Linked DNA regions of Alligator mississippiensis. The protein of the gene in region 2 interacts with the protein of the main gene of each other region in a pairwise test. Links are inferred from orthologs where the notes say so. Each region holds a gene or a part of one and is shown on either strand. Other genes may lie near its edges.

Region 1 (9,972 bases), about 130 Mb from region 2:
GCTGAGGACTGAGCATCCCCACATCATGCTGCAGTTCCTGGACCTGAGCTGTTCCTTTAGAACGCAATGGCAAAGTTCCAGCTGACTTCAGGGAGCTTAAGATCAAGTCCCGTAAACTGCAGGGTACTCTGGAAACTGCAGGATTGGGAAACACAGGATGACATAAATAAAATGCAAATAATAGGAAAATCTAAACTATATAGTGGCAACAGGCACCCAACCTCAAAAAAATGAGTTCAGTAAGGGAAAACTGACCCAACAAAAATAACTTGCCCTCTCCACGTTCCCTACAGCAGCATTTTAAGGCCTGGTCCCAAAAGGCATTCTGTACCATATGAGGTCAGCCACTTATTCTTGGACCCGTTTTACATACACACAGCAATGTAACTGGCATGCAGAATTAAACGATATATGCTTAGACCTAAAATAGCTAAGGAGTCAGGACTATTTCTGGCTTTTCATCTTGAGAGTAAAGGTACTTTTTAATTTAAATCGCTTCTCTCTCTTTTTTGGGCATTCTTGTCATCAGAGAAAACTGTTCTGTTTATTATGTTCCAAAGCCATTTCATTAACCAGCTGTTCGATGGATGACTGAATAGCTGCTTTTACAAGTGAAGACGCGGTTTCTATCAGAAGCAATTCATACTGCTCTGAAGTTCTTTGCCCCTGATCACTGAGACCTTTGGGTGAGAGAGCATGGGAACTGTTTTTATCCTCCCTCCAGTGGCCGCTGCCTGCCACTGAGCCCTGTTGGCAATCTGAAAAGCTACTGAAATCAAAGTTCCCACTTTTCTTATTCCCTTTGGGTTTTGTATGACGTGGGATCAAGGGCAGCTTGCAGATATAGCTGGGCTCCACTTCATTGCAATCGTCTGCATCTGTAACCGTAATCACAATGCCCACCCCATCAACATCCTTACTTTCTTCTAATTTAAATTGTTCGTTTGAACAGCTCTGTACATTTGCTGCCTCATCTCTAAATGCTGACTGACTGGAACCCATTATCGTCTCTTTGGATTTACAGTCCTCACTAACGCTTATGCTGCTTCCAAACTCATCCAGTCCAGGCTGCTTCTCAGGCATGGCGTTTCTACCTTGTACCTCGGTGACTCTAGGTACATGCTCTGGTAGGTCCTCAGGCGGCTCAGCACCAAACGCAGTGTTGCCATCATCCTGCTTGGTTACTGTATGCACTGCTGTTTCTGGTTGGCTCCTCGGACACTGTTTTTCCTGGACTATTACAGCAACTGTCTCTAAATTCATTGTTTCTGACTGGACAGGACATGCTGTGTGTTGATCGGTGTCTGGCCCGGGTTCTCGCAAAAGCTCGTTCTCCCCAGCAGAACTGTCACTTTTTTCAGCCGTACTGTCACTGTCTTTCTTTGCAGCAGACTGGCCAAAGGATCGATCAGGGCTAGATTTAACTGCAGTTGCCAAATCCTCGGGTTCACTGGTAGCTTTATTCAAAATGCCCATTGCTTCATTTCCCTTAATACTGTCGTCCGATTCCTCTATCATTTCACACTGGCTGGGTTTTCTCTTGCCACCTGAAAATCTTATGCATGGTATTTTCAGACCAGAACGAACCTCTTTCTTGGGCAAACTCTGCAAGCCAGCCTCCTCTGTACTGGTCTCCAGCTGGACTTGAGAGTCGGAAGGTACGTGTTTCCTGGAAGAAGACTTTAACTTTCTCCTTGGTCTCACAAAACATTTTATAGCTGCCCAGGCTCCTTTTGGTGACTGAGATGGATTTGAAGCTTTCCCTTCTCTGTGGTCCGCACTGCACTGGCTGGTTTGATTCAAGTTTGCAGACTCTTCTTCGCAGGTACCCTTCACGTCTGAAGCCTTCTTGCCTGACTTTTTTCTTTTCTTAAAACAAAACATGGAGGGTTTTTCTGCCTCTTCTTCAGCTGGACGGCACAGTTTTGCTGCACTCTGCATTTCTGACTCTGCTGTGTTTTCCGTTTGAATATCCTTAGCTGCCTTCTCCATACTTGTAGCCCCTTTTTCTTATTTTTTACACAATAATTTTTCTCTATTAGCCCTTCAGATGAATGAACTTCAAAGAAGCTCAAAGGATGTTTCTTAGAAGTTATTTCTAAAGAACATTTAATTGCTTTAATTTACTGATAGGACACTATACAAAGGGATGTTTTGATGGGGTCCACATGTTAGTTTTCTATTTTCATTTGGTTTTATTACTTGCTTTCTTATCCTTCCTCAGAAAGACTTAATATTTACATTTTAAGAACATGCTTTCCTTTCTTTAACTGACCAGACTCAGCCTCCCCTTTAGGATAATCAACCTGCAACACTACTCGATGTGGTGCTGGTATTATTTGATCAATAATCCAATGGTTTGATTTTCAATTCTTGATCTAACATCCATTAAACATTTTCTATTGATGACAGGCAACAGAAAACAACTTCCACTTTCTAATACATTCACGAGAACACTGTCTGAAGTGATAGTAAAACAAAATACAGCAAGTGGCCTTATTTTGTCTCCAATGAGAAGGTCAGCTGTTATTCTGTCTTTTCTCATTTAGGTTTTACTTCAGTTCATGTGACAAGTTATGCCACGCATGCGGAAAAGTATGGCGTAGTCTTTCATCTTTCCGAGTGCTACATGGGCGTCTGCAACAAAGCAAAGCGATGAAAAACATTTAGGTGCTAAGAATGAAAATACATATTTTTTTCAGATTTGTGCATTTTGCTTCTAAAATCCCGTGTGCATCCCGATCCATGGGGGTGGGCAGCAGGGTTAGGCTGTAAGTCTATCCTCAGGCGGACAACTGCAACTCTTCTTGGAATCAGCATCTGAAGGCAAAATAAGGTCACTAACGTGCCACATTAGATACATTAAAGCATAAGATATGAATTTTATATAGAATGAAGGGGAATTTACTTTTCCCCCACATCATCAGAGAAAATACCTTTCTTTTCCATTTTCCAATGATTTCCTAAACATTTTCTACATCTCCCCTACATGAGCTCACAATTCCCTCAAGGGAAATTATAAGCTTGAGACATCTTATATTTTTATCCTTCATGCACAGGATGATGATGTGCAGCGATATGAAATATAAAAAGGAGGCTTGCGAAATCCAAACATAACCCAAACTGTATGAGGCACTCATTTATAGTGCTTGCATGTCTTCCATGGCAACCTTACTCACACAGTGCATGCATTCATCATAAAATGCATGTAATCTTTTTAAAGAAATGCTGCCATCACCAGAACATTATGAACAAACAAATGTATCTAACAGGGAAAGGACACATTTTTGTACATGGGATACTCCCTTACTGGATACTTTGAGAAGTGCTTGAGGAATATTTTCTTTTACGTACGTCTTGAATTCCTTTTAAAAATGCACATATTCTTAGTAGTTTTAAAAAGCTAAATTGAATTGTTATATTCAGCAGTCATATAGTGTTATCCAGAGTGGCTGCAGGAATGTGATCTACTCTGAAGTGATATTTTATTATGAATATTTTTTTTGATAATTAATGTCACGATTTGCTTGCTAAAACTTGACTCAAAGCTCTGTGCTCTGGAGTCCGTACCTATGATAAAATACATGAAATCTGTAACAGAGTGAGAACCTAGCTTAAAAAAATAGATTTAGGAAAGTGTTTCATCATAATCATCATCATTTTTTCCTTTCTTTTGGCATTACTGTGCCTCTGATTGGAAAGATAAAGAGAAGAAAAATCCTAGAGAATGTATAAGATTAGGCGTCTTCTCAGTCTCTTTTTCTTTTCATTTATTTATTGTTCTTTTCTTTTATAACACCAACACACTCTGGGATCACTCCGATACACCCTTCACCTCATGCTAACAACACCACCCCCAATTAAACAGCACAAAAAATCACATCTGGATGCCCTGACCTCTTGCGTGCTCCTCTGCGTGTGTGGCCATTCATCCCTTGAACGTCAGGCGAGCGGGTGCTGACTACCGGCCGTCTTCAGGCCAGTGGCGTCTGGAACTGCAGGGAAGGAGAAGGACAAGGTGCTCGGTGCACGGCTAGCTCTGGGCTTGACCCCATACACCCTTTTCTAGATGAATCATAGAAAATGAGGGTCGGAAGGGACCTCAGGAGGTCGCATCTAGTCCAACCCCCTGCTCAAAGCAGGACCATCCCCAACTACGTCATCCCGCCCAGGGCTGTGTCCAGCCGAGTCTTAAAAACCTCCAAGAACCGAGCTTCCATCACCTGTCTGAGCAACCTGTCCCAGTGTTTCACCACCCTCCACGTGAGAAAGTTTTTCCTAATATCCAACCTAACCTGCCCTTGCTGCAACTTGAACCCATCGCTCCTCGTTCTGTCTGTCACCCCTGAGAACAGCCCAGCTCCCTCCTCTGCGCAGCCCCCCTGCAGCTTCGATTAAATCCCCCCGGCTTTCTCCTCTCCGGACTAAATCAGCCCAGTTCCTCCAGCCTCTCCTTTATCAGTCCGTCCCCCAGCATTTTCCTCGCCCTCCACTGCACTCTCTCCAACTTGTCCACATCCTTTCTGTATGGGGGGTGCAAAACTGGACCCCAGATGCGGCCTGCCAGTGCAGAAGAGAGGCAGCTCACTCCCCTCCTCCTCCTCCTCCTCCCGGCGAGGATGCCCGGAGCCTGCTTGGCAACAGGGCAGGCGCGCCCTTGCCTCCGCCGGGCAGCGCCTCGCCTCGCCTCGCCCCCGCAGGGCGCACTTCGTGCCTTTGGGCCCCGATCCCCCCGGGTCCGTGCAGAGCGCGGGGCACGGGGAGGATGTCGGATTTCCAGGCAGGGCTGGAGGCTCGCGGGGCCGAGGGAGGGGGACGTTTCCCAGGCTCGGGGGCCCGCACCCACCTTGGCTCCGGCTCCGGCTCCGCGGCAGGTGCGGGTGATGCTGCGCGGCGGGCGCGCCCGCTCCGCTCCGCCCCGCCTCCCCCGGCCCCGGGGTGGGTGGTCCGGGCTCGGCTCCTCCCCGCGCCCCGCGGCGGGAGCCGCCCTGCCCCTGCCCGGCCACGTGCGGGCACGTCTGTGCGCCCCGCGCGCTGCAGCGCTTCAGCACGGCGGGCGGGCGGGGGCTTGGCTTCAACCCGGGGGGACACGGTCCCTGGCCCTCGGGGATGCAGCGGCCCCGGGGCTGTGGCAGCGCTGCCGCGAGCCCCGAGCCCCAGGCTGCTCCCGCCACAGCAAGCTGCAGTTGTCACTTGGAGATGTGCTAAAAGGCAGGGCTGTTTGCGGATGACAAAAGCACCCCAGGGAGGGAGAGGCTGCTCTCCTTTTCCTATCGGGAGCTGGCAGGTTTTCTGCCTCGGGAATTTTGCACCAGACGCTCTCCTGCCAGGAGAGCCATTTCCATTTTGCAAAGGTTTCAGCTAAAAAAAAATCCAGTTTTTCTATTTTTATAGAAAATGCCCTTATAGGTGAGAAAGACGCACCCTGGCCGGGTCTCGGGTTGAGCTAGTAGTTCCCAGAACAACGCGCTAGCACGGTTTTTTTCTTCATGCTACCCTCTTACACCTAGCTGGGGTCATCTAGACCCAGCACTCTTTCCTGCCTGTGCGAGGGGTCGGACTCGATGATCTATTGAGGTCCCTTCCGACCCTGGCATCTATGAATCTACACCCCGGCCTCTACGCTTCAGTTAAAACAAAAGTTTCAAGGTGCCGATAACTGAGATAAACAGGAAAACATGCCAAGTGTAGCATCCAGAGGGACCTGAACTTCCCCATTCACTAACAAGAACTCACAATTTACTGCCTCTTAGCACCTGCAAATGGAGGGAGCAGTGTACATACAATATGTTGAACATCTGCACAAGGGAGCGCTGTGCATGAAGCTCAGAGCACCATCTTCCCCCTGCCCTTCCCAGTCTGCCTTCAGCCGCTACAGGCAAGCACCGAACCGTACCCAGTCCAGAGTGCAGACCGGCACAAGGGAGATCTACGTGAAGCAAGCACAAAGAAAGTACTTACCCTTTAGGCATTTTTTTTGGAAATGCACGTACTTTTGCAGCCAGTATTTTCTCCCGTACAGAAATATATGGCATATTTAACTTAGCAGTGTCATCCTATTGCTCCCTTTCTTAAAAGGTGTGTTACTTAGCTATATAGCTGTGCTCACTGGGCATACGACTTGGACGTTATACAGGTGGTGCAAGCCAACCAGTAACAAAGTCCTGGAGCGTGTTAGGGGCATGTCCACCAAAGTGTCAGCTATGACGGCTTGGACACAAAGCTCAGATGGATGACAACCTTGTAGATGAGGAACTTGAAGGATGGGAAGAGAAAGCATGGTTGCCTACAAAAGTGCTTCACGGACTGCATAAAGGTTCACTTCACTGAGTGCAACCCATTGACTAGCTCCTTTGAGCTCTTGGCTGTAATAAGCAATGAAGTGCCACAGTAAGGGAAGACATAAGCCTGTTTAAACACGGAGGGCATGCTCTTAAGCAGGAACAGCACACAAGCCAAAGGCTGCGTTCACAACAGCAGCAACGGCAGCCCGGCTCACACTGGGTGGCACTGAATTTTGTGACAAAAAGGAATTTGCGGTGCATAAGCTGGCAGTTACCTGTGCAAATGCCAGGTGGCCTGACTGGCACCAACATCCTTCATTATGATGGATGCATAACAACACTGATGGTAACTCTTATGACAGATGTGTTTCTGCCAACTTTTCCTTATCCAGCGACGACCCATGCCTCTCCTAGGTGAGTTGTTCCTATCAGGAGCTACAAAGAATAGAAGATCATGATGAAGCTTGTCAGGGCGTAGGCAGTTTTTCCCTCTACCTTAAAAGGCAAAGACAAGGAAGCTAACAAACAGCATCAAGTCAAACACATGTGCCAGCATCATGCGACTAGCATCATATCTGATCACATTTGACTCCTTAGACCAAGTGGTAAAATATCTATTCGCAGTTGAATCAGGTGGGGGCAGATTAGCATGAGACTGGAGTTGCAGCAAGATGCCTTAACCACACTGCCAAAAAGAGAATGTGAATCACAAATTCAAGTACTTCACCTCAAGGTGGATGATACAGATTTAGGTCCCTCATTACATCAGCTTAAATACCTTGCATTTGGAACACAGTTGGGTAGATAAATTGCTCAGAACTCAGCTTTTATGGAGTTTCAGAATAAGCTGATCATGCAGAAGAATTATCTGACAGAGGTGCTAAGGCTATGCGAATAGGCAGGGATTCCAGCTAGACCGAGGACAAGCTTTTTTGCTTGAAAGCAGATTTTTGAGATACAATGCTTGCGTTCTTCTAATATTTGTCTTACTCCGGCAGCGAATGTGGCATGGGCAACATGGGAAGAGGCACATATAGCGTGTACTCTCCCTATCTTAATGCCCACGGCTGGCCCCAAACCAGCAGAATTAGGTTAACATCCCACATTATGTCACGGATGGAACTTAGCAGAAATGCCACCATCTTGGGTAACCATGGGGATGTTCTTTCCATGACACACACAGTTTTCCAGGTCTGTAAAGGCACAAGGAAGTCTTACATCATTTGGATTTGATCGCTCTAGACAAAAGCAGAAGGAATGGAGGGGGGCAGGGAGGGAGACTTGAAGATTTATCCAGTATGTAAAGTGTTCATGGATCCATAGATTGTTAGGGGCTGGAAGGGACCTCGCAAGATCATTGTGTCCAGCCTCACAGCACTAGGCAGGAAAGACAACTGGGGTCAGGTTTATAAAAAAAAAAACAAAACAGCAATTAGTGAATGCCCACTGAAGTTCAGAAAAGAGGCAATTAGCTTGTTTTGTGCAAAAAAAAAATTATGATATCCATAAAATTGAACTCTAAGGATGGTTAAGCCCTGGAACAGGCAGTCAAGAAAGAATGGGAAAAGCCCATCTGTGGAGGTTTTTATAAAACAGGTTAGATGAGCATCTTTCAGGGAGGGTCTGGGTATAATTACCTGCCTCAGAGCAGGAAGATGGATTAGATGACCTTGTGAGGTCCCCTTCAGCCCTGTATTTCTATGATTAATCACTGGATTAACGAGATGTCAACTGAAATAGTCCTTGCAGAAAGGGAGAGGACAAGCTGCTTTCTAATGTTTAAGAGCGTCATATTAAAGAACGTGAAAAGGTGACCAGGAAAGAAAAAAGGCAGGTTGAAGGAATGAGATGGGCTGTTCGGAAGAGGGGGATGCAGCAGGAAAAGCAACAACGAGACGAGAGAGGAAGATTGAATGAAGAAACTGGCACCTGCAGGCTGGCCAGCTTGCCTCCAAGAAGCAGCCAGCACAGGATGCCTTAGTTGAAGGAGCTCCTCATGTACCTAGCTATGCACTACACATGGGGAAAAGCAATTCCTGACCCCATGCCAACAGTCCGTTCAGACCCTGAAAATCTGATTGCAAATACCTGCTTTGCTTTGAATATTATATAAAAGAAAATTTTAAACAAGCCTAAAAATGCCTTTTAGGAATCTTATGACAACTTAAGTTATTGTAACTTCACTCCTGTGACAGCCCCGTAATTGTTACATAATTATTCTGATAGCTTGCTATATATAGTGTGCATGTATTACAGCTGAGCCCATATGCTGATGCACACTCCTACATCAATGCTTCTCCCAGTCACTGCAATTCTTTAATATGTTCTTAGGCTCAGATACAAGCAATGGGCCTTGCAGTCTGATGTGGAAAGGATTATTCATAGATATTTAGCTGCTTGCATGGGTAAGATTTTCTCTTCAATTGCTGGATTAGCAGAACTGGTGGTTTCACTTCAGATCTCTTGCAGTCAATGGTAAGCATATCAAAATCCACTGAATAAAATTTAGGCAGTTTATTTTCCTACACATGACATGCAGTATCCAGGAAGGGATGTGAGATTAAACCTAAATATACTGGTGCACTGGAGGCTCAACAGTATTACTGCAATAATCACTTTTACCTGTCAATACTGGAAACTGCTGCTGTGTACAATCCCCAAACTGACCATAAAAATAAAGTTCAGCTTCATTAAACGCAATGCATATATTAAAGCCCAGGGTACTCTGAAAGGATTTAGCCATTCATTTGTATTAATTACAAGTCTGGCAACAACTTAGTTTTCCCATTATGAGAATTTTTTTGGACTACTCTGACAAACCCCACTGCAAACAATTTGACTCAGTGCTTGTGCTGTCTCTGTTCACCCAAAAAAAAGATATTTCAAGAAGCAAGGGTTAGAAACAGTGTAAGAAAACTCATCCATCTAAGTCAGAAAACCATGTATGGCATATTCTCTTCTTCAGCCACAGCCACTGAATGGAGAGCCAGTCTGCAAAAAGGTGATGTCCTGTGTTTTGTGCACAGCACAATATATAAATGGCACAGATGCTGATCACAGCAGGGATTTCTAATCGGGAGATCTGATATGGTTTACGTGTTGATAAGGACAAAATACACCAGAAACCAAAAGCTTTTGGGAAGTGGAGAAACGAAGGAATTCTTCTTCGCTACGTACCTGTGACTGATACTGGTGCAGTCTCATGTTACAACATCCTCTCCTTGAATGCTAGCAGTGGATTCGAGAATTGAGTAGGTAGAAAGACTGTCCAGCCTTTAAAGGACAATGTCTACCCATGGTCTAAAAATATACTGAAAACAACTTAAGCCCCAGGCTGTCGCAAACATTGGACAAGTCAGGAAACTCCATTTTTATGTTTTAATATATTAAAATCATCTTATTAAGATCAGTGATAGAAAGGGAGGGTTAAAACCAGGTGGTTTGGCTACAAGTATGAAGCAAAATGTTCGTATTCAATAAGGAAATATTTAAAAATATCAGTGTGTAAAACTTACTGCAGGTTCTTCACTGAACTAAAAGATTAGCTTGGAATAAGACTTTAAAAAAATTACTGCAAATTTTAACAAACATATATATTCCAGTCATTCCCAAATGCTTCTTATCCCATTCACTTCACATCTTGCATCCTCAGTCGTATCTTATTTTGGCTTAAGTCAGGGCACAGTTC
Region 2 (10,964 bases):
GTGAACACCAATAGCTGAAAACAAGCAGTCCAATAGTTGTAAGCAGTTCTTATCCCCCCTGCATCAGAAGGTTTCTATTTAAAGAGAAATTTAGGTAAATGGAAAAAACACTGCTTCACTAGACAAGTACAATATCACTCTTCAGACCAATATATGGGATTCTCTTTTCCCAGAGTTCACAAAAATTAACATTTTATTAAGTCTTGAAAACAAATCTGCTGCTCGGGTACCATTGTGCATAAATGCCATATAATCAAATCAATTGAATACAGTCTTGAAAACACCATACAACTGGCAGAACATGAAGTAACTGAAGTCCTTTTTCACCTTCCAATAACTCCCTAGCAGAGTGTTTAAAATCAACAATATATAATTAAAAACAAAAACAAAAACCAACAACCTTTCCAACAGGTGTCCATAATAGGCCAATCTGTGTGATACTGCTAGAATTCTCACCTCATCAAGTCCACCACTAAGAGTTATGTAACAGTGCCTACCTAGGATTTACACAGAACGCCTGACATGCTTGTTATAATAGGACATCTCTTGTCGTGTGTTATCTAATTGCGATCTTTGAAAACTAAAACATTTAACTAGCTTCACAGTCAATAAATTTTAAGAGCCGGATTGATAAAGTAACTATTCTTTGTGCAGCTATATGAAATAATGAAATATAAAACCTACATGCATGAGCTAAAAATACTTCTTCCCCAGATAAAAATTGCTTATGACTTTTTTTTTTTTTAAATCTTCAGAAATATCTCACTTTATACTAGTAAACAAGTTTAAGAGGTTTTTTGTCAAATACCAAGGAGTGCTGATTATCTACATCTGTGTTTAGTAATAAAATGCAAAGATTTCTGTTACTATTTCTGGGGCTATTTAGCTGTTCATTTCAAGAAGATATAGATGATTGATGATCTATGAAAAAGACAAGTGGTGCCCAACCTTTTCACCCTGTGGACCAGATGCATGGTGGCAAGTCAGTCTGTGGGCCAGATCTGGTCTCTGGGCCCGATCCAGCAGCTGGTCCTGGTGGTGGTCAATCCCTGGCCAATGGGGTGCTTAATCCAACCATGGGGGGAACAGCCCAGACAGGGCCCAATCCATCTGCATGAGGCCGGCCTGGGCCAGGACCTGTTCTAGCCATGTGGGGCCAGCTCTGATCCAGCTGTGTGAGAACAGCCCAGAGAGGGTACCATCTGGCTGCATGGGACTCACCTGGCTAGGGCCTCGTCCCTCCACATAGGGCTAGTCCAGACGGGGCCACCGCACTCCCACGCCAAATATCAAGACCCATAGGAGCCCCATGGGCCAGATGACATCATTCTACATGCCAGATCTGGCCCACGGACCAAGAAGTAAATACTATGGAAAAGACCATTTAATAGTCAAAGTTGTAACACAAGACCTGGGATTCTGCAGCTCTAGATGAAGGATAGGAGTCTTAGGCAATTTGCTTTTACAAGTCAAGCAAAGCTGCCTTAATTTCTTTTTCTTCATTTATGTTTCTAAACAGTGAAAAAAAACAACATTTATTTTAAGTTGCCTTCATTGAAATATGACAGTGTAAGAATAATCCTATTAACAATGAGTTTCTTGTGTATTACCGCTCCAGATTCTCTATTTAAGCATTTAACAGGATTTCATGTTTAATAAAAACAATGAACTAGTTAAATGCATCCAAATACTCTTTAAAATGTTGACATGTAATAACTATAGTCAGATAAATTAATAAATACCTAAGAAACTTTTGTTAAGTAGTCTTCCTTCTTTTAATGAATACTTTATAAAAAGAACAGAGTTAAATGTTTGGTGGACAGACTGTTCACTGAGTGTATAAAATCCACAAAATTATAATTTGTGTGTGTGTGTGTGTGTGTGTGTGTGTGTGTGTGTGTGTGTGTGTGTGTGTGTGTGTGTTCATATTTTTTTAAAATAATCTTTCTGGAAAGTTTGGAACCTATGTATTTACTTGAATGGAAGTATTTAAAAAAAAATGAAGAGCCATTACTGCCAAAAGTCATAGATTTCTCTTGCTGGCAAGTTTCTGATTCTAACCTGTAAACATCTGAATCATTAGAGACAATAACTCAGTTCACTGTGGGTGCAATTTTATATGTACCTGCATTCAGAACAGTGATATTTATTTGCTTTGTTTTTAATTAAAAAAAAAAAATATCAATGTCATAGTAGTTCTTACTCCAGTAGCACACCCAAGAAAATCAATTTTTTTCTTGCGGAAAGACCATAAGATTTGGTCCCATGTTTACCAAATTAGACACAAAATTTAAGAAATCTTTGTCTAATTCTTACGTGACAGTATTTGCTAAATGGTTACATCAAGATATAAGAAGTGTCTGTGATGCCCATGTCTTTAGATAACGCATCAGCCAAGGACAACCACATAACCCACCTTTAAAGCTTAGTCTTAGCGTGTCTTAGGACACTAATACAATGTATCATCCTCTCAACCATGCCATAAATATTTCGGGTTTCACAAGACAGGGCACATTGAAACTGTTTTTAATGCTACTATGGTGCAGGCAACTAATTTTCCTAAAGCCTCCCCAGATCCGAAATTCCATTAGGAATTAAAGAGAATGCACAGAAAACATTAAAATATCAAATTTGTTATTTGTTTGGTGTTTGGTTTTAGTCTATGCTCGCAAGACTCTACGTAACACAGACAATCCCCTCTAAATCTCCTGGACTTAAACACTGAGGGATTTGCATTTTCACCTGAAAACCTAGATACAGATGCAGACTTATCTCCTAAACTAAGTATGATGTACTGTACCTATGCATGCTAAACAATATATAGAACACAGAGGAAATATATGCACCGTGCATATATTAAAGCAGCCGGTGCATGGGATTTAATCACACATGACCTTTCCCTAAGAGGATCAATTCTTTATGGCAGTGCACGGTCTGGCTACTCAAACCCAAAGGGTGGCTTTCAAGACCTGAATGACCTACGAGCTGTCCAGCTCACCCTACGGTTCGCTTCGAAAGAAGATAAAAACCAGAGAGAAGGAGGCACGTTTGCGGGGAACACCCAGACACCAGGATTGCGCGCGCGCACATACATGGATGTGTGGCCGGAGCATGTCTGCTGGATAACTTCACATCCAGCCGAGCCAAATCAGAAAGGAAGAAAAAAGAAAAAAACAAACGGGGATGGGGTGGGTGGGGGGAGGGATTGTTTTTGGGGGGTTTTTTATTGCCTTTTGCTGTGCCAACAGGCAGCAGCATATATCCGTATTTCCATCTCCCAAGCACCAAGAGGCTTATCTTGGAGAAATATGCCATCTTCTCCAGCCGTGCCCCCTCCCTCCCCGCATCCACCCCCGCACGGAAATTCATGCGGCTCCTGCCTGGGCGGCCGCTGCGCGGGTCCCTCGCCCCTGCACCAGCGCTGGCCGGGAGGCGGGCGAGGCTCCCCCCCACCCCCCGAGAGCCGTGGCGCCTCCCCCCTCCCCCAAGGGGAGAAGCCGACCACGCAGGATCGCTCGCGGGTGCCTCCCGCCTCCCCCCGCCAGCCGGAGCGCAACGCCCCCGCAGCCCACGAGCGCCAGCGCCGCCAGCCGGGATTGGGGCCTCTGCGGGCAGATAGCTCGCGCGGGCGAGGAGCGGGAGCAGCCGGGGGCCGGCGGGCTGCGTGGGGGAGGGAGTGGGGGAGGGCGAGTGCCGGGCGTGCAGTCACTTGGGGGGCGGGCGATGCTGCAGTGGAGCAGGCCCCCCGCCAGCCCAGGGCCGGGATCCCCCGGACTCGCCCCGCTCCTGTCAGCGGCCCCGGCGCGGGAGGCCAGCGGAGGATGCGGAAGGAGCGCGGCGGCGGCGGCGGCGCTCACCTTTCACCACCCGGTCCGTCGTGGATAACTTGGGGTCAATCGCCTTGTGCTCAGACATCTCCGGCGGGCGCGGCGCGAGGGGCGCGGGGCCTCCCTCGCCGAGCGGTGCGGGGCGGGGCGGCAGCGGCTGCCGCAGCAAGGAGCCCTCGGCGTCTCCGGCGCGGGGCGGCGGGGAAAGTTGCGGCCGCTCGCCTGCTGCCGCTGCTGGCGGAGCTGGGCTGGGCTGGGCTGGCGGGGCTCCCTGCGCTGCCTCCGCCCCCTGCTCCGGGCGGGCGGGCTGACTTCACGCGCCGCGCGGGGGCTGCACAGGGCGGGTGCAAAACACAATACCCAGGGGGGCGAGGGTGAAGAAGGAGATTTAAGAACCCGGGTGCGGGTGCAGCGTCGCCGCCACTGCCCTCGGCACCTCCCACTCCCTGCGCTCACACACAACCCCGGTGCGGCCCAGGCCGAGGCGCAACCTACCCTCCCGCGCCCCGCCTCTCCGCCTCGCACCCATTGGCTGCGGAAGAGCTGCCAATCACTGTCAGGTATCTCGCGCCCCCCCTCCCCCCCAGGTGTTCCCGCTGCGCGCGGCCGGAGCGGGAGGTGGGGCTGCTCCGGGCTCCTTGCGCGCTTGGTTGAGCCGCAGCGGGGAAGCGCGGGGCGGGGGCTAAGGAGGGAGGTGTGGGGCCGCAGACGCCGAGTCAGCAGGCAGTGGCTGTAGTGGGGTGTGTCCCACCCCGACCCCCTCCTTGGCCGAGCCCAGGCCGCCGCAGCGGCAGGGGACGGCGCGTGTCGCGAGCGGCGGGGCCGGCCGCCGCTTTTCACTCCCTGCTCCGCTGCTGCACAACAGGAAAAGCTCCGGGGCGATTGCGCCTGCGTGAGGGCCCCTTGCAGCAGTAGCGGCGCACACGCCTGCGGGGGGGGGGATGCAGCGGGAGGTGGTTTCCCTCACCTGGCAGGGGAGATCCCCGCCTTCTCCGCCTTGAGCGGCTCGGCGCGGGTAGGCACCCCTGCCAGCGCCTCCCAATGCCAGGATCTCGGCTGTGCGGCCGTGGGGGTTGCTGTCTGGCTTCCCCTCTGGCTGGCTCCTTCCGCCTTCTGGGTACGGGCACCTGAGCCCAGGGGGCACCGGGACTCCAAGGGCTCTGGCACGTAGGGCGCCTGCCAGGGGGTTGGTACGGAGGATACTTGCGGGCGGTCGCGTCACGCAGACTTGAACGATTCAGCCCGCAGGATTCAGAACCGATTTGGCCCGAGACACAAAATGTCAACCAACCAAACAAATAAAAAAGCAGTGGCATTCACAGGTTCGCCCATGCACTGCTGCAGTCCTTTTGTGTCAGGGCTGGGGGCATCCTTCACTTAGCTTTCCTTTTGCTTCAGTGCCTCTCTCTGTCCAGGTCCCAGCTCTGCTATGGGGCTGAGGAAGAAGCATAGAAAGAAGGAAGGGGGGGGGGTGCTTGGTTGGCTAGGGTGGGAGCTTTCGCATTAGGGAGATAGGTGGATGACAGCTACCATTAAAAACTGATGCATTTCTTGAAGTGAGTGCTCACAATGTTATAGCAGGAAAGGAGGTTATCTTCCATGCAGGATCTAACTGCCAGGGTGTTGAGCTAGCCTATGACAGAAGGCGCACGTTAGCCTTATACTGTGCCATCTTACCTTTCCTCCCTGTTCTGTATAGCAGTGTATACAGTGTGCTTGCTACAAAACAACTGGGAAGAATGGATGACCTTTGAGCAAGTCTCTGCCACAGACTTAAGTGACCTTAGGAAAGTTGCCTAACCTCTACCTTGGTTTCACAATAGGATACATAAACAAGGGATAATAATAACTAGTTTATTGGGTGTTGGATGATCTCTTCATCTGTATTATAAATACCCAGGGGGAAGCAACTCTGAAAACGCAAAATGCTTTATCAGTTTCTAGGGATAAATTAGTTTCAGACTCGATAAGATTTTTGTTCTGGTTTTTGGAGTATCAGTAGTTCTAAAATGTACAAATGTACTGTTACTGCTTTGACTTAATTAAAAATGAATTTATGCAACAAATCATTTTCAAAGTCTGTGCATGCATGCACACATGCTTATGCACATACCCCCCTCCCCCTTTCTTCTTGAAATATCACTTATTATGCAAATGGCTAGGTTTTCAAAAGCACTCAGCTCCCAACATTTGGCTGTTGGGTGGTGAGCTCTTTTGAAAATCTGGCCCTTAGATCTTGATCATACAGTGAGCTTTTCATAAAGCGGGACTACTGAACCATTCAAGTCCATGAATCTTTGTCTTGAGTGCACTCATCCATCTACCTGCACCAAGCCCTTTGCAGCATCAAAGCAGTACATGCTGGGAAAGAAAGAATTTTGTTTTCTGTCATTCCATGTATTCACATAGAGTTTATCAAACAAAATGGCTTTTAATTTTAGATGACTCTGTGCTACAGAACAATTTAATGTCAGAATAGTTCACTAGCTTTGGAGCAAGAAGAATGGGCTAGAGGGTGGGGGGAGGTTGTTAAGAAAAACAACCTCTGATTATCAAGTAACCTTAAGGTTACCTGACACCCTTAAGGTACTTACTAAGAATATGCCACTTGAATAGTCTAATGCACAGAAATGCCTAGTGTTCATAGATTTTATAGACACTAGGGCTGGATAGACACCATGGCTGGAAGGGGCCTCGCAAGATCATCAGGTCCAGCCCCCTGACCAAAGGGCAGGAAGTCAGCAAGGGTCAAATGATCCCAGCAAGATAGGCATCCAAGTGTTTTTTAAAGTATCTAGAGTAGGTGCTTGCACCACCTCTGGGGGGAGTCTGTGCTATACCAGATTTTTTCTTCCTGTTGTTAGGTGTGAAGTATATAAAACAGGATAATAAATAGAGATAAAGGACTGCAGGAGAGGTAAGAGATGAACAATAATACTGAAATGTCTTGTCTTTGTATATAATTATTTGTTTCTCAAAATTCTGGCCAAGTGCACCCAACTGAGGGTCAATCAATAGGCATGTGGGAAGTTCTGTAAGTGGATCAGCAATGCCACATGCACAGTACAGCTGACAGTTGAACTTGTATTTATTTGAGACAGATTTCTTTGGCAGGTTTTAAACCCTCCCTGTTTTACAGTCATCCAGGTTAACTGGTTCTATATTGGGAATAATAATCCCCTTCTCAAAGATGGTTGGTGTTTGAACCAGAGCCACCGTTCTCTCCTGAAACTGTCACTTCCCTACAAGTTGTTTGAGTTAGAACAAAGTAGGCAGCCAAGCCGATACCACCTGCTGCAAGTTATTAGATGGTTGATGCCAATAATTCTGGCTCAGTCCATTCAGTAAATGGGGAAAGAATGCTTCCTGTGCTATGATTAATACTTTCATTCTTATGTCTTTTTTTAATAGGTTGGAAGCCAGTCCTAGGACTATCTGTCACACACTCCAGCCTGATCTTGTTTCTTGATCTTGATGCTGCTTTGAGTATACATAACCGCAGCCCTAGACAACACACCTCAGTTGGAGAGGACACCTGTTCATGCCTGCCTCTGATTGATATCTTGGGTATGTGCACACAGAGTGGGTGGAGTTGTACAAACCTTTAGTTTACAACCTGGAGTTGTAAACCCAGACTAGTCATGCCCAACTCATAGCTCACAGGTAACTCTTATTATCCATGCATCCCTCCAATACTGTTAGCAGACATAGGACATTGAAAAGTTAAAACTGAGATTGACAAAAGGAATACATGATGACATTGCCACAATTTATCACTGCCTCAGTATAGCGGCCTGTGGGCCACTGAAGGCTTTGAAACACTGTTGTATACACAGGCCATTTCTCCTTAGAGGTCTATAGTTTTGCAGCCTTTTGAAGCAAACTTTATGAAGCTGTCTACAACAGTAACTTTCTTAAGAACAACATTTATTAAAAATAAAGTGAAACTAGTAGTGAAACAAAATATACTGTTTACATAATTTGTGTCTTGATTGATTTTTCCAATGAATGAAACTAAAGAGTATCTTCTCTTAAGTACAAAGAAAAGAAACATAATATCCTAGTCCTTCAAAAGCTATTTCCCTTTCTGAACAGTTGTTGGTCAGTGTGACACACATTTTTTCTCCTTTCTGTGACAGAGAGAAAGAGATCTTTCCGCTTCTTGGGGAAAACACATTTTGAAGTCCTGTTTTTAAGACCCAATCCATGATTCAAGTTGCTCTGATATGCCTGAGTGGCAAATACATGCTGATTTTATATAGTCTTGTCAGGTGTTTGGCTCCTCAAAGGGTAAGAATCCAGCTGCAGGGGATCAGCAGCTAATAATCTGCCTGGCTGGGAAACAGTTGGATCTGATACCAGTTAATGAGGGAGGAGTTGCAAAGAGTGTTAAACCCTAAGAAGGGGCTTGGCTCAGTTGTTGGGAAGAAGTGCAAAGCAAGGGTTGTACATCTTAAGGAAGACAGCAGGTTTTTTGTTTGCTAGCTTGTTCACCTGTTTGTTCATTTTACTGTGGAGACAAGGTTCCTCCATGTAAAATAAGCTGGTTTGAAACCCTGGAGTCAGAGCTGACTCCCCTGTCTTAGGAACCTGGGTGAGTGACCCGCGTACATGTCTCCTTTCAAATGCTTACCTTCCTGGCCATTAAGAAAGCTCTGCTCCATGTCTCTTTGCCTTGAATTAGAAATGAATAAATTATAGTAATCTGTGATTTAGTTTTTCCCAAATTTTGTTCCACATTAAACACTTAATACCTATTTATGCATGGAATTATTCAGGAGCACCTATTTCTAAACAATCCTGTGTGTTGATACTGTTATTCCAGAATACAAATAAGAACAAAAGAACTGCTATTTAGTGCTTTTGAAATGGTTCAGGAGGTTTAAACCACTGTAAACTGGCTTGTAGGTCTGCACATTTGCACTTTAAACTGCATTTAAACCAGTTTAAGTGTTATGTCTGTCCACACCTCTTTGGTACTTTCATATTATGTCTCCTAGTTCTAGGATTGTATTAGAGAGAGTAAATTATAAATCTCTGTCTACTTTCTCTGCAGCACTTATTTTGTTAAATCTCTGTCATTTCCTTCCTCAGTCATTTCTTTTCTAAAATGAGAAGTCTCCCTCTATACCCTTGACATCTCTTTTTGCCATTTGAAAGTGCCTTATGCTAAACAAAATCAAGGCAGTTATTCTGGAATAGAAGTCCACACAGAAATTATTCAGTAATTGTTGCTTCTGAATAACCCCATGCATAGACAAGCCTTCATTCATAAGTACCAGCCCCACTATCATGTCCTCCTACACAGTAGTACCTAAGGTTTGTCTGTCTGCTCTTTACACCTGTTTCCTTTATTTGTTTTTAAGGATAGCATTGTAATAGTAATTATTATTCTTCGACTTGTTGGATATTTTAGGGGATAATTTTGTTGCTTATTATTAAAATCTGGATTTATAAATAGACTGTTAGTGAAATAAAGTAACAAAAAAGATGACAAACAGCACAGACTTTTAGCTTAGGATACTAACTTCAGATTAGCACCTTAAACTGAGCGCATCCAGATGAGCGCAAATGTGCTGTATGTGGTGCTGCAGCCTTGTGTTCTGTGATGCACATGCAGACATTCCCTGTACTGCTAATTTGCAGCAGGGGGTGGGGTTGAGACCTGGAGATCTGGTGTCAAAAAAAGGCCAGCCCAGGTGCTGGTTCCAGCCTTCCCTACCCCACCCAGGGCAATGTGTCACATGCCAAAGTATGTGTGCATGGTCACTCCATAGGGACAAGCAGCAGCATGTATTGTGCCACGGCTCTTTGTTACTCGGGAAATGCATTTGCCTGCACATCTGGATCCAGCCTTTGTGGCTGTCTGTGGCTGAACAGCACCAATCACAGCAGAGTCATGGTCCATAACTTGGGTTCCTGGGCACTACGGTAATACAGGGCTCAGGGTAAAACAGGGCTCAGCTCCATTACTGTGGGGAGGAGTGTGTCTGAGCCACCTTTGACCCAGGATGGCTTCCCACCCCCCAACTCAGAAACTGATGCAGCTGTGCTGGGGCTGCACTGGCCAGCTGGAAGCCAGCACAATGAGCACAGCCATGGTGAATGGCCCTGGCAGGGGGAGTTCCCCCAGCTGCAGGCAGTTGGAAACCCAGCCCCCCAGGCAGGGTGGAAAGGCCCACCCCCACAAGAGAGGGGGTTATAAGCAACTAGGAGTGCCTGCGCAGGTCACTCTCTGGAGTGAGGGGAAGACAGAATGCTGGTAGGGCTGTATGTAGTTGGTGTGGTCTCTAGGTGGGCCCTCCCCACTGGGCCAATGCTCTGTGTCCTGCCTGCACCCAGGACAGGGCTACTGAGGCACTTGGATCACAGCCTAGAGGATGGACCCCAGAGGCTAGATGCACCCAGCACAAGGATAAGTGCGACCTTTTTTATTTACTGTTATTGTTTTGTGTTTTCAGTTACAGACCCAGGGCAGGGTGCCTAGGGCCTGGAGTAAAGCCTGGAGGCTGGGATAAGCCTCAAGCCATCTGACCAGGGAGGCCGGGGTCCTACTCAGTGGTTCTTCGGCTAACCAGATGCAACTAGAGCAAAAAGGGGAGAGGTGTGGCACCGCACCCACCTCAATACACCCAGCAGCAACCATCTGGGGCTGCAGCTACCAAGGTAGCTCATAAATACACATAATAAAAGCAATCATAATTGTAGGGATAACCACAATTATGATATAATAAAATGGAAGTTGTTACTAAGCATTATAAAATGTTCAAACAAAGCTATGTCCTTCTTTGGTTGTATAAATGCTAGAATGGCCTTCATAGATGTATAAGACTCCCAAAACAGTACCCATACCTCATTTATTTTACATGGAGTGACACAGAGAATCTGAACAGATCAACTTCACACCTGCCTTGGTGCTTCTGAGTGCAGGTAGTATGTGGCAGGTCTCTGTGCTGGAACACAGAGAAAAAAGAAATAGTTTAGGAAGGTACTGTGGCTAGTAAGTTCATGCACAACACCAATTTCTTGCATTACAATTTTATATAGTGGAGAGTATCAGTATGGATCCTCTATTCTGCCCATAACCTGCAATCACGGTTGAGGGCTCTCTGCATGAGTACCTTGGGTCCTGCTTGG

The links. The genes of interacting proteins can lie anywhere in the genome.
Region 1: the proteins of PPP3CA (region 2) and AKAP5 interact in binary tests that used the Homo sapiens proteins (3 or more experiments, as listed by UniProt). The link is inferred for Alligator mississippiensis from reciprocal best matches to the Homo sapiens genes PPP3CA and AKAP5.

Annotation. Positions count from the first base shown.
Region 1 is NC_081825.1:291,386,649-291,396,620, forward strand, and holds the start of AKAP5 (A-kinase anchor protein 5), read right to left. Parts: upstream 4,996-9,972; 5' UTR 4,847-4,995; intron 3,996-4,846; 5' UTR 3,898-3,995; intron 2,821-3,897; 5' UTR 1,993-2,820; coding exon 526-1,992; 3' UTR 1-525. UniProt on the Homo sapiens protein: Multivalent scaffold protein that anchors the cAMP-dependent protein kinase/PKA to cytoskeletal and/or organelle-associated proteins, targeting the signal carried by cAMP to specific intracellular effectors.
Region 2 is NC_081825.1:162,268,777-162,279,740, forward strand, and holds the start of PPP3CA (protein phosphatase 3 catalytic subunit alpha), read right to left. Parts: upstream 4,008-10,964; 5' UTR 3,916-4,007; coding exon 3,858-3,915; intron 1-3,857. UniProt on the Homo sapiens protein: Calcium-dependent, calmodulin-stimulated protein phosphatase which plays an essential role in the transduction of intracellular Ca(2+)-mediated signals. Many of the substrates contain a PxIxIT motif and/or a LxVP motif.